Macaca mulatta: one gene and its partners. The protein of the gene in region 1 purifies or fractionates together with the protein of each later gene. This does not show direct contact. Links are inferred from orthologs where the notes say so. Each region holds a gene or a part of one and is shown on either strand. Other genes may lie near its edges. The genes, in order: SNRNP70, GEMIN4 and MRPS9.

What was found.
Region 2: the proteins of SNRNP70 (region 1) and GEMIN4 purify together in Homo sapiens (affinity purification with mass spectrometry; 5 studies listed by BioGRID and IntAct, counting the BioPlex papers as one, with this or other methods). This does not show direct contact. The link is inferred for Macaca mulatta from reciprocal best matches to the Homo sapiens genes SNRNP70 and GEMIN4.
Region 3: the proteins of SNRNP70 (region 1) and MRPS9 purify together in Homo sapiens (affinity purification with mass spectrometry; 3 studies listed by BioGRID and IntAct, counting the BioPlex papers as one, with this or other methods). This does not show direct contact. The link is inferred for Macaca mulatta from reciprocal best matches to the Homo sapiens genes SNRNP70 and MRPS9.

The regions. Positions count from the first base shown.
Region 1 is NC_133424.1:61,533,565-61,537,164, reverse strand, and holds the start of SNRNP70 (U1 small nuclear ribonucleoprotein 70 kDa), read right to left. Parts: upstream 2,493-3,600; 5' UTR 2,301-2,492; exon of another isoform or gene 2,092-2,300; intron 1,538-2,091; 5' UTR 1,528-1,537; coding exon 1,381-1,527; intron 1-1,380. UniProt on the Homo sapiens protein: Component of the spliceosomal U1 snRNP, which is essential for recognition of the pre-mRNA 5' splice-site and the subsequent assembly of the spliceosome. SNRNP70 binds to the loop I region of U1-snRNA.
Region 2 is NC_133421.1:2,295,162-2,298,980, reverse strand, and holds the start of GEMIN4 (gem-associated protein 4), read left to right. Parts: upstream 1-1,001; coding exon 1,002-1,011; coding exon of another isoform or gene 1,012-1,404; exon of another isoform or gene 1,405-2,859; intron 2,860-2,873; exon of another isoform or gene 2,874-3,134; intron 3,135-3,819. Other genes in the region: uncharacterized protein LOC721152, read right to left, coding at 1-1,404. UniProt on the Homo sapiens protein: The SMN complex catalyzes the assembly of small nuclear ribonucleoproteins (snRNPs), the building blocks of the spliceosome, and thereby plays an important role in the splicing of cellular pre-mRNAs.
Region 3 is NC_133418.1:13,159,125-13,162,943, reverse strand, and holds the start of MRPS9 (small ribosomal subunit protein uS9m), read right to left. Parts: upstream 2,279-3,819; 5' UTR 2,252-2,278; coding exon 2,117-2,251; intron 1-2,116.

The DNA of each region.
Region 1 (3,600 bases):
GGGCGACAGAGCAAGACTCCCTCTCAAATAAATAAATAAATAAATAGAAACTGGCACATGACCTGCATCATCAAAGGGCACCTACCACCGCCTGTGCCCATTAAGTTAATTTAACTGGCCAGTAACACTTCTCAAATGCGGGTTCACCAAGGGTGGCAAATCCCACTGAAGATACACCTTTCTGTTATCTATGAACTTCTGCTGTGCAACTCCCTCGCCTCCAGCTGCCCTTCCCTACGCAATGCCAGAATGTTCTTGTAACTTCTGGCTATGTGCCAGTTTTTCTCAGGTGTGCTCTGATGCACCTAGGAGAAGACCTTTGTCATCCCATTTCACAAATAAAAACACAGAGGTCCAGGAGCCTAAGTCATTCATTCCTATTTACCCCGAAGGTGCAGAGCTAAGATCCCCATCTGCAGTTTTAAGTCCTCCAATACTCAATACTGGGTGCTAAGTCTTTATGAACATCATCTTATTAACAATAAAAACAGTAAACAAAGTAACAAAGGCTGACACGTGCTGACTGGTTGGTGCCAAGCCCCTGATATACACTTTGCCATTTAATTCTCCAGCATTATGAGGGTGCTACCACTATCCCCTTGCTAAAGATAAAGAAACCAATGCATGAAGAGGATACAACATTTGCCCAAAGTCAGAGCTGATAAATGGTGCGGGTTAAGTGCCAATCTTCAACCACTACTCACTGAATTTTCACAAAAATTCTACAAAAGGGGTACTATCAAACCCTACTTTTTTTTTGAGACAGTCTTCTTCTGTTGCCCAGGCTGGAGTGCAGTGGCACGATCTCAGCTCATTGCAACCTCCACCTCCTGGGTTCAAGTGATTCTCGTGCCTCAGCCTCCCAAGGAGCTGGAATTACAGGCATCATCATGCCCGGCTAATTTTTGTTATTTTTAGTAGAGACGGGGTTTCACCATGTTGGTCAGGCTGGTCTTGAACTCTTCACCTCAGGTGATCCACCTGCCTCAGCCTCCCAAAGTACTGGGATTACAGGCGTGAGCCACCGCACTGGGCCACAACCCCACTTTAAAAAAAATTTTTTTTTTTTTGAGAGACAAAGTCCTGCTCTGTCACCCAGGCCGGAGTATAGCGGCACAATCACAGAGCACTTCAGTCCCCAACTCCTGGGCTCAAGCAATCCTCCCATCTCAGCCTCCTGAGTAGCTAGAACTACTGCTGCACTCGACCACACCCGGCACCCGGCTGCAACCCCATTTAAAACAGCGAAACTGAGGATCACAAAGATTAAGCCCCTCGCTTAAATCACACAGCTAGCAAAATAGTCAGAGGCTGGACTCGCAAATCCAACCCCTTGCTCCCCAGAACCCAAACCATTCCTGGCCTGCTCAGTGAACTCACCTCAAACTCTCGAATGTACGGCGCAATGCCACAGTAAGGTTGATTGTGGTGTTTTTCATGTGGCAGTTTCTCCAGGGGTGGCAGGTATGGGATAGGGTCACGGGGGGCAAAGAGGGCCAGAAGGTTGGGCGGCAGGAACTGGGTCATCTTGCCAAGTCTGAGAGCAGAAGCAGGACAGCCTTAGGTTAGATCGGGTCTGCAGAGAAAGCCCCTATTACTCCTTGACTCTCAAAGTAAGAAAGAAAGGAGAAAAGTCTCGGAATTAAAACAGGCTTTGTAACGGCAGAGAACGGTCCTGTGTTACGGAGAAAAGGGTAAAAGTCTTGTTGGAGGTGGAGGTGAAAGGCCGGTAAAAGACACAAAAATAAAGGCTGAAAAAGGGTTCCTGAGTAGTGAAGTCTCAGAGTCCTGAGACACGAGCTGTGGGGCGGAGAGGTTGCCTGGGAATTTCTGGGGGAATCAAAGACCCGAGGAGGGAGGCCCAGGGCAGTTGTGGCTGCTCGTCCCGTACCGTGGACAGCAAATTACTAGACGCAGTTTGCAAGGGCCTGGGGGTCGGAAGTCTCCGAGCAAAGAAAGAGAAACATAAGGAGCGAAGCCCCAAAACCAAGCGCTTGTGGGTAACAGATCTGGGCCCCGCAAAGGCGAAAGGAATTATGGGTAAGGGTCCAGGACAACATAGAAAAACGAAAAAGAAAAAAGGCTACACACCGCAAGGGCCTGTGGGTAGGGAACCGCGAGGGCGATGTGGGGACCGGGCGTGGGTGCCCAGAGAACTCGGGGTCCGAGAAAGGGATGCAAAAGTGACCTGTGGCGAGGACGCGGGAAGGGGGCCTGGCCGCGGGGAAGAGGCCCGGGCCCACCGCTGGGGCTTCTGGGTAGCGGCCCCGCTCCCCGTCGGGCCACTCAGTCACACTCACTCGCCGCGCAGCGCCCTCCTAGCTCTGGTGTCTGTCCGGAGGCTCGCGGCGGCTGCGGCGGCCCCTCAGCAACAACAGCTCCTGCTTGGGCTTCCACTCTGGGGGCGTCCGCGTCCGTCTGATTCCGTCGCCCGCGCAGCGAGCGCACCAGGCCGCTGCTCAGGAACCCGCGCGGCCTCGGCTAGCGACTGGAGCAGGGGGTGGGTCCCGGCCGCAAATCCCTCCGCCGTCTGCACTGCGCACGCGCCGCGCGAGGCCAAGCTCAACCCACACGCTGGGACCCGGCGCCGCCGCGGCAACAGCGCACGCGCGAGGTCACCACCCCGCCTTCGGGCACCTTGAGTATTTCAACCGCCGGGAGCTGGCGTCTGCACTGCGCGCGCGCGCTTAGCCCCAAGCCGCCCCTCCACCTCTCGCTTTCCGCTCCAAACCGCCTATGTCCGCGAGGCTCTCCCTGATGCTCCGCCCCTTTCCAATCACACTTCCCGGATCTTGCGCGCATGCGTTCTGCGTAGGGAACTATAATGTACCTCTCCGCCGACTAGCAAAGAGTCCCTAAGTGAATGGCCTGATTGCGTTGATGTTTAATCTAGTCAATCGATAACTGTTCATCGAGCATCTCGTGTGTGCTAGGCACTGTCTGGGCTTTGGGGCTACAGCACGTGATTAAAGCAAAGTCTTCTCCTGCTAGGGCTTACACTGTACTGGGAGAGACAATAAAAGCATTTAACTGAGTAAAGATAATTTGAGGCCGGGCGCGGTGGATCACGCATGTAATCCCAGAACTTTGGGAAGCTGAGGCGGTCGGATCACCTGAGGTCAGGAGTGCGAGACCAACCTGACCAACATGGTGAAAGCCCGTCTCTACTAAAAATACAAAAATTATCCGGGCGTGGCGGTGCGCGCCTGTAATCCCAGTTACTCGGGAGGCTGTGGCAGGAGAATCGCTTGAACTCGGGAGGCTGAGTTTGCAGTGAGCCGAGGTCGTGCCATTGCACTCCAGCCTGGGCGACAGAGCGACTCCGTCTCAAAAATAAATAAATATAAAAAATAAAAGATATTTTGAGATAGTGGCCAGCATAATGAAGAACGATGGAGCAGAATAAAGGGATGGGAAATGAGAGCGAGTCTATTTTGATAATGGAAGCCTCTTCTGAAGAGGCAACATTTGAACAAAAACCAGATAGAAGCGAGATCTGGAGGGGGGGAGGAGCGGGGGGTGGTGTTTAACAGTTTAAGTGCAAAGGTCCTGAGCGAGGACCAGATGGCAGAAATCTCAGGTTGTTAGCCATGAGATCAG
Region 2 (3,819 bases), on another chromosome or scaffold:
CTCCCTGCCCCCCACTTCCTTCTTCTTCAGCTCCTCCACTTTGGCCGCGTAGCTCCTCATGGCGTCCATCTTGGACACCCCTTTGTTCGCGCTCCAAGCCTCCCACTTGGCCCTGGCCTTCACGTCTGAGGCCGGAGGGGCGGGGATGCCGCAGTCGCCCTGGGTGGCCTGTTTGTAGAGGCCGTAGATCAGCAGCTTCTCCGGATCGCTCACAGGACCCTTCAGCTGCTTGAGGGCCGCGCGCGCCAGCTCGAACTCCACTTGGCACATGAGGGGGTGGAGGCGGTGCCTGGTGCTCGAAGCTGGAGGTGGAGAGTTGGAATGGCGGTTACTACTCGATCTCAGGGGGGAACGCAGGCAGGCACACGATGTTTGTGTTTTCTCAAGCACAGGCTGCAAGCTCGGGGTCCCGCGTACTGGCGCCACCCCACCACGTTTGGGCTCACACGGTGCATTTTCTGGGGAGGAACAGCCGTCAAAAGCGTCTAGGATCCGGGCCGCTGCTGTCTGAAGGGGGCGGCGCCGCGCGGCAGGAGCGCGTTGAGGGACTGTGTGGGGGGCGGACTGGACGCGTGGGAGTGGAAGGCTCGCGCGGTGCGGCCGCGCTGGGTAGTGGGCGGCCCGCGGGAGGCGCTCGGTGGCGGTGAGCTGTGTGCGGGGCACGCCCGGGGTTACCGGGTGAGGGTGAATGCGGGGCCGGGGACTCGTGAGCCGGACCCGCTGAGACCCCGGAAGCGGGCCAGGGCAGGGGACGGTGCGGAGGGTCTGGGGAGCGACGCCTGGTACCTGAGGGTGGGTGGGAGGCCTCTGCCGGAAGGCGGCGCTGTGCGCTTGGCGCGCTCGTTCGTGAGGACTGCGCGTGCGCAGGGGAGACTGTGGGCGGGGCCTGAGCGCCGCCGCCGTGGCGCCTGCGCCGTCCATTGTGCTGTGCGTCCCGCGCCGCGTTCGCGTTCTCGGAGTAGAGGGGGCGTTAGCCCCGCTCGGCCGCCGGCGTCGCCGCCATGGACCTAGGTGGGTGTCGCGTCTCCTCAGCCCCGGGCTGCGTCTCGCGATGCGCCACCGGGACGGTGCCGCCCCGTCGCGTCTCCTCCTGCCGCGCACGCTCGCTTGGGCCCGGGCCAAAGCGTCCACCACGTCGGGGCGGGTCTGGGGGTCCCCGGGTGGCCTTGACGGGGGTGGTCCGGGTCCCGCTGCGCGTTGGGCCGGGTCTTGCCCACTCCGCGGGAAAACACCGAGCAGACGTAAAGTGAGAGCCCCTGGAAACGCCCGGGGCCCGGGGCTCGCGCACGTGCTTTGAGAAACGGGCTTTCTCCGAGCACCCCCGGGTGTCCCGGCGGCCTCATTTTCTGAACGGCAACTGCGTTCTTGAGCAAGCGTCTTAGGCTCCAAGTGTCTTACGCTCATCAGGTTTCCTCATCGACAGAGCTGGGGGAATGACAGTGTGTCTCCCCACTGAGTGTTGGGCGACTTTTCATGGAGATCGCCGAGGCACAGTGTCCCGTGCAGGGCTGCGCGGGTCACACCGCGGTTGGGGCGGCTGTGTTCCTGAGGCGTCACTTTCTGAACCTGCGTGCGTCCTGATTCAGAATCTTGCAAGGTCTGGGAGAGGGGGAACCCTGGAACTAGGAGCTCCCTGCTAAGCCTCGACACAGGCTGCTAAGACCAGGAGGCTGTTCTGGGAGAGCTGGGGGTGAGGCACCCCGAGATGTGTCAGCAGTAGTAGGCTGGGGGGAAATGGTCTGTTCCCCGCCCCCAGAGAGCTCTTCAGGAGCGGTATGGCAGAACTCTTAGGGCTTGGAGCCCCTTAGCCGTAATTGCTTCCCAGCCCCACCACATCCAGGCGGGGGCACCCTCAGCAAATCGTTTCTGCGCCTCAGTGTCTTCTTCTCTAAAACCGGAATAATAGTCCTCAAAAGGTGGTTGTGAATCGAAGAGATCTTACATGTGCACCACCTAGCACCGTGCCTGGCATGGAGTAGGCGCATAATAAACCTTAGAAGCGGGCTCTGGTAAGCACTAATTAACCATCCGTGATGAAGCACCGGAGTGTTTTCCAGCTAGTAACTGACTTACTACTTCAAACTGTGGGTACTTACTGCGCCTGGAAGGCAGGTGTTGAGGGCCAAACATCTGCTCAGCTAATCCAATAATGCAATAAAATAAAATTTACAGCGTCAGGAGGGACCATATTTTGGGACCCTGGGAGAGCCTCCTGAGCCAGAAAGAAGGGCCGTAACCCCCAGAGAGGTCCCCTCTGCAGCCTGACCTTCCCTGGGAGTCAGATTCAGCCACTGTGAGCTGAGATGGATTGCCTCCACAAGTGGGTTACATAGTGCTGAACCCTTGTCCTGCTGCTGCTCTCATAAATGGTGGGAAGGGTAAGATGGTCCTTAGTTTCCTGGAGTCAGCGTTTTCTCTGCTGGTGTCTGGCCTGGGAAAATGGGGAATATGAGCTCTCGTGGGCATGAGAGACTGAGGAAGGAGTAGCATCTCTCAATCCTAGGAGAGGGGAGAGGCCTCAGGAATGAGGAATAGGAAGCAGTATTTGTACCCTCGTTTTAGTTTCTAGGCCAAAGGAAACATGCCTGATAAAGGCCTATATCCTTTGATGTTTCTGAGCTGGGGGAGGCAAAGAATAGTGACAAGATTCTGGTCCTGCCAACTATGAAAAGGTTTGGGGAAACCAACATTTACTGAGTACCTAACTAGACTCTGTAACCCGATTCTTATTGTAGCTGTATTTATCTATCATAGCGTCCCGGAGAGATGGGGTCAGGAGATAGCAATACCAACCCCCTAGAAAGGGCTTGACTGGTATATATCACATGATCCTCAAAGTTATAACATGAAGTCTGTATTATCCCCACATATGCAGAAGGAAGGCTTGGAGAAGCAACTTGACCAAGATTACATCCTTTTTTTTTTTTTTTTTTTTGGAGATGGAGGGGGTTCTCATTATGTTACCCCAGCTAGTCTTGAACTCCTGGCCTCAAGGATCCACCTGCCTCAGCCCCGCCAAGTAGCTGGGATTACAAGTGCTAGCCACTGCACGTGGCCAGAATCACATTGTTTTTAAATGGCTGAGCTAGGATTTAAACCCATGTCTGATTAAACATCCCAAGATGCTTTCCATGGTAAGTCTGTGTCAATCGTTAGTTCCCTGAAGGAAGGCTTAATCTAGCACAGTATTTTCTGTATCTACTCCCTGGTTTCTCCCACAGAGCAGGGCCATGAGTAGCTTGTTTTTGACCAGAAGGAGCTGTGGGGTGGACTGTTTACCTGAAAGGTAGAAGAATGTTTGAGGCCTGTTCCCAAGGCAAGGTTGTAAAGGGTGAAGGCAGGGCTTGTCTGATTCCTTCTGTGCCCATTACTCCATGGCTGTGTGATTGCTCTGTGCCCATTACTCCATGGCTGTGTGATTGCTCTGTGCCCATTACCCTGTGGCTGTGTGATTGCTCTGTGCCCATTACTCTGTGGCTGTGTGATTGCTGTGTGCCCGTTACCCTGTGGCTGTCTGATTGTGTGCCCGTTACCCTGTGGCTGTGTGATTGCTTCTGTGCCCGTTACCCTGTGGCTGTATGACTGCTTCTGTGCCCATTATCCTGTGGCTGTGTGATTGCTGTGTGCCTGTTACCCTGTGGCTGTGTGATTGCTTCTGTGCCCGTTACTCTGTGGCTGTGTGATTGCTTCTGTGCCCGTTACCCTGTGGCTGTGTGATTGCTCTGTGCCCTTTACCCTGTGGCTGTATGACTGCTTCTGTGCCCATTACCCTGTGGCTGTGTGATTGCTTCTGTGCCCATTACCCTGTGGCTGTGTGAT
Region 3 (3,819 bases), on another chromosome or scaffold:
CTAATTAAGGAAATTAAACTTTGAACAAACAAAAGACCAGGTATAGTGTTTTGTCACTCATTAAGTGATTAAAATTTTTATTATTTTATAAAATAATAAAAAACTTCTCTTGGGCTACCAAGAGAAATCTAACTATTAATGTTGTAGGCAGAAGTGAAAAAATGTTAATATTTAAGACAGATAAGCTCTGCGCCAGGATAAACAAAAATCTTTATCAACGTCTTTAGGTATATGTATGCAATCATAAGAATCTAAAGGGGAGTCAGCTAAGTGTTTCAGTTATAGCTGAGCTGTACTTCATGTGGTAAAACACATGCTGTAGTAGTATTCAGGAATCTGGGGATTCAGCCATTTCAGGACCATCCCTTAAGAGTGCTAAGGGTGGATACTGTCTTGTAATTGTTCGACTTTAAATTGTTTACTTCACAGTGCCTGGCAAAGTGCTCAGTAAACATCTGCCATATGGGAGAAAGGGGTTGTTTCAAGACTGGTCAAGGAGATGAAAATTAAAGTAACAAGGAGAAATCATTCTTCATCCATTTTACTAAACCAGTACTTAACAACTAGACCAGATGTTTACTGAAACTTTATTGGTGCAAAGAAAGTAGAAACAAAGCAAAAGTCCATCAATTGTTACATTAACTTTGATATATTCTTATCATGGAATAGTATGCAGCAGTTAAAAATGCTTTTAAAAACATAATAGGGGACCCTGAAAGATTTCTACTTTATAATATACTGCATATGTAGAAGAGAAAAGCAAAAAAGTAAAATGCAATCAAATATGGTCCATTTTTTGTAAAGTACACCTGTGCATGTATGTTTATACACGATTATAAGAACACGAAAAAAAGCATAGAATAGATACCAGGAGGGACAGAAAGTTAGCCATCCCCCAATACACACATTAAATGTCAACAATAAAAATACTCTGTATGACACAGTCCCTCTCATAATCATGTGTATACAGCAAAGATATACTCAAAGAGATGCATGAAAAAATAAAAATTTCCAGCACATTTTCCAGTAAGAAAAAAAGTAAAAGCAAATATCCACATGAATAGATAGAATGGATTGGTTGATCTAGGTTCAAATATAAAAGAAAGAACATAAAAAAAGATGGGTTTTTTTTTTTCAATATAGTTTTTAAAGCATGGTGTTTGACTTCCCTGCAATAATTGGTACTGGTTATCACTCTCCCTCCTTGAAACATTCACCTGTTTTCCATGATACCACACTGGCTGGTTTCTCCCCTGCTTGTTTGGTCTCTCATTCTCAATCTCTTGGGGCCTCCTATTTCTTATTTGTCCTTCAGGGCCCTGTCCCTCTGCCTACTTCTCAGTACACTCTCCCTAGGTAATTTAATTTGTTTACAAGGCCTCAATTACCATCTACAAGATAACAGGGCACTTCGAAATCAGTTCTTCTCCTGAGCTATAGACTTGCCTATTTATAGACCTACTGGAAATCCCAGATGCCTAAACCATAATCCCAAACTAAACTCGTTTCTTCCCTCTCAAATCTTTTTCCTCCTCTGAGATCGCATGTCAGTAAATTGGCATCATCAGCCTACCAGCTGTTGACTCCCCACTTCCCTCTGGATTAAACGAAATGTACAAGTTCTGGCCTGCATCTTTCCATAGAGAAAGATTCGGGAAAATTAAGAAGACAGAAATTGCGCAGATTGAAGGCACTTCTAAAAAGTCACTGTCCTCTACAGAACGTGACTTTCTCCATTGTCTTCCAGGCCCCTGCAGGAATCCAATTCCCCTCATTCTTCTCTGGCGCGGCTCTCCTCCTCTCTGGACAACAGGGCAGGGTAGGACTGGACCCAACACCAGACCTAGGCACCGACCTTTAGCTCAGCCGCCAAATGAAAGAAGAGGTCGCTCCACTTCCACCTGCAGGTAAGTTCCCCCCGCTGCAACCCGCGAAAAAACAAGTAACAATCTCCAGAGCGGCAGCTGCAAGCCAACACCCACCTCCCCACCCCCAACCTCAGATCTCCACTAAATATCTACCCTGCCTGAAGGCACGAGATGCTGGGGGGTGTCCGCGCTGGCTCCACATCCTCGCGCGGCAGAGATAAACCGCTTCCAGTCCTCCCAGGCCTTACCTGGGATCTGACATTTGGTTGCAACTCAGCTGCCGCGGTTTTCCAGAGGCTTTGCTTCCGGACGAGGGTACCCCTACCCCAGAGAAGAAACCAGTAGGAAACTGTTCCGCCGTAGGACACACAGGGGGCCGCCATGTTAGCTGTGGGAGATCCAGGGCCGCAGGGGTGACGGGGCGGGGCCTAGAGACGGCGCAGGCGCTAATGGGCGGGGGGCTCCAGAGGCTGTCCTGAGCAAGAGCTTCTAGGGCCTTTGGATCGGGGGGCGTGTCCCGCGACCCGAGACGGCAAGTCGCTGATTGGGTGCATGGAGTGCGCGGGCCGTATCCGACTCCACCCCTGGCTGCTGTCGCCCTCAAGAAGGAGCGCTAGTGGGTAGTTTATCGCGGCCGCTTTCTCTTCACGTCCTGAATTCTGTCTCTTTGGAACTCACTTCCACGCTCTCCTAGTCTCTTTGGCGCTCACTTCCACGTGGCACTTTAGCCAGCCCTTCCCTCCCAGCCCCCTTGCTGCATCTCGAGCGGGCTCTTCCTCCACCTTGGCAGGGCGGCCGGGGCCCCAGATGGATTCCAAGCATTGCTTCCTGTGTGTCTTATCCTAGTAGGGGTTTTCCCCTCCTCTAACTTTCCACGTTCTTCTGGATCCAAGTCAAGACTCTCCTGCAGCAGCTGTCAAACTGGCACTTTCCTGCGTTGTTTCCTAACTGTACAGGATAAACCTTAAACCGGTGAGGTCAAACACTACCTTTCTCGTTTTTGCACGTCCCTCCCTACGCGTTGGTACTAAGCCTTACTTGAAAGCCAATCAGAACTGATCAATTGTTAGAGATGAGTATGTCTTGCTTTCTGAAACTTGCGTGCTCCTGACGGTTAACTCCCAGGGCGCTTTCTACGAAACACATATTAAATGATGTAGTAACACACTTTAAAAGGGTTTACAAACACTTAGATTTGAAGGGTCAGTAAAAGTAAAACACAGAAAATCGGAGATCATATAAAGTTGTCAAGCAAACACCCTGTACTATCACCATCATTTCACGAAACAACTTTTTAACATTAAAAAGGTAGAATGACATAATTTCACAATAAATAAAAATCTTTTAAATGGAATACATTTACTTGTATAAAATGCTCATCCTGTTGTTCTTTCTGTTATTAGCTTTTAGACTAGCAAAAAATATCATGAGAAATTGGCAGAGGTCAGAGGACTAAACTCTGATTTTTTTATCTTGCCCAAATTCCTATACACGGGATTTGGGGAGTCATGCCCTACAAATCATAAATTCTTATCAGATGGGTTTTACTTAACCCTATATATGGTGACTTACTTTCCAACCTGACTCTGGCATAACATTACGAGACAAGGAAGAAAATCAAAATATTTTACCCCAAAACATGTTTCTTTGCCATATCTTGAAATGGCCCTGCAAAGCTGTCCTTGGAGGGGTGGGATATGCATCCGTAAAGAATCTCTGTTAACATAGCTAGATCTTTTTCTTCCAGACCCTCCCAATCCTAAAGAGATTAACTAAGATCTGAATAGGAAACATTGGTCATCCATTGTCTCTAAGGGCAGCCACTATAAGACTTCTAAAGAACTTTGGTCTCCACAGTCTTTATCTTAAACTGAACATTCCCTTTCTATCAGTCCCAGGTCTTTCTGGACCAAACCAATGTATTTCTTAAATGTATTTGATTGATGTCTCA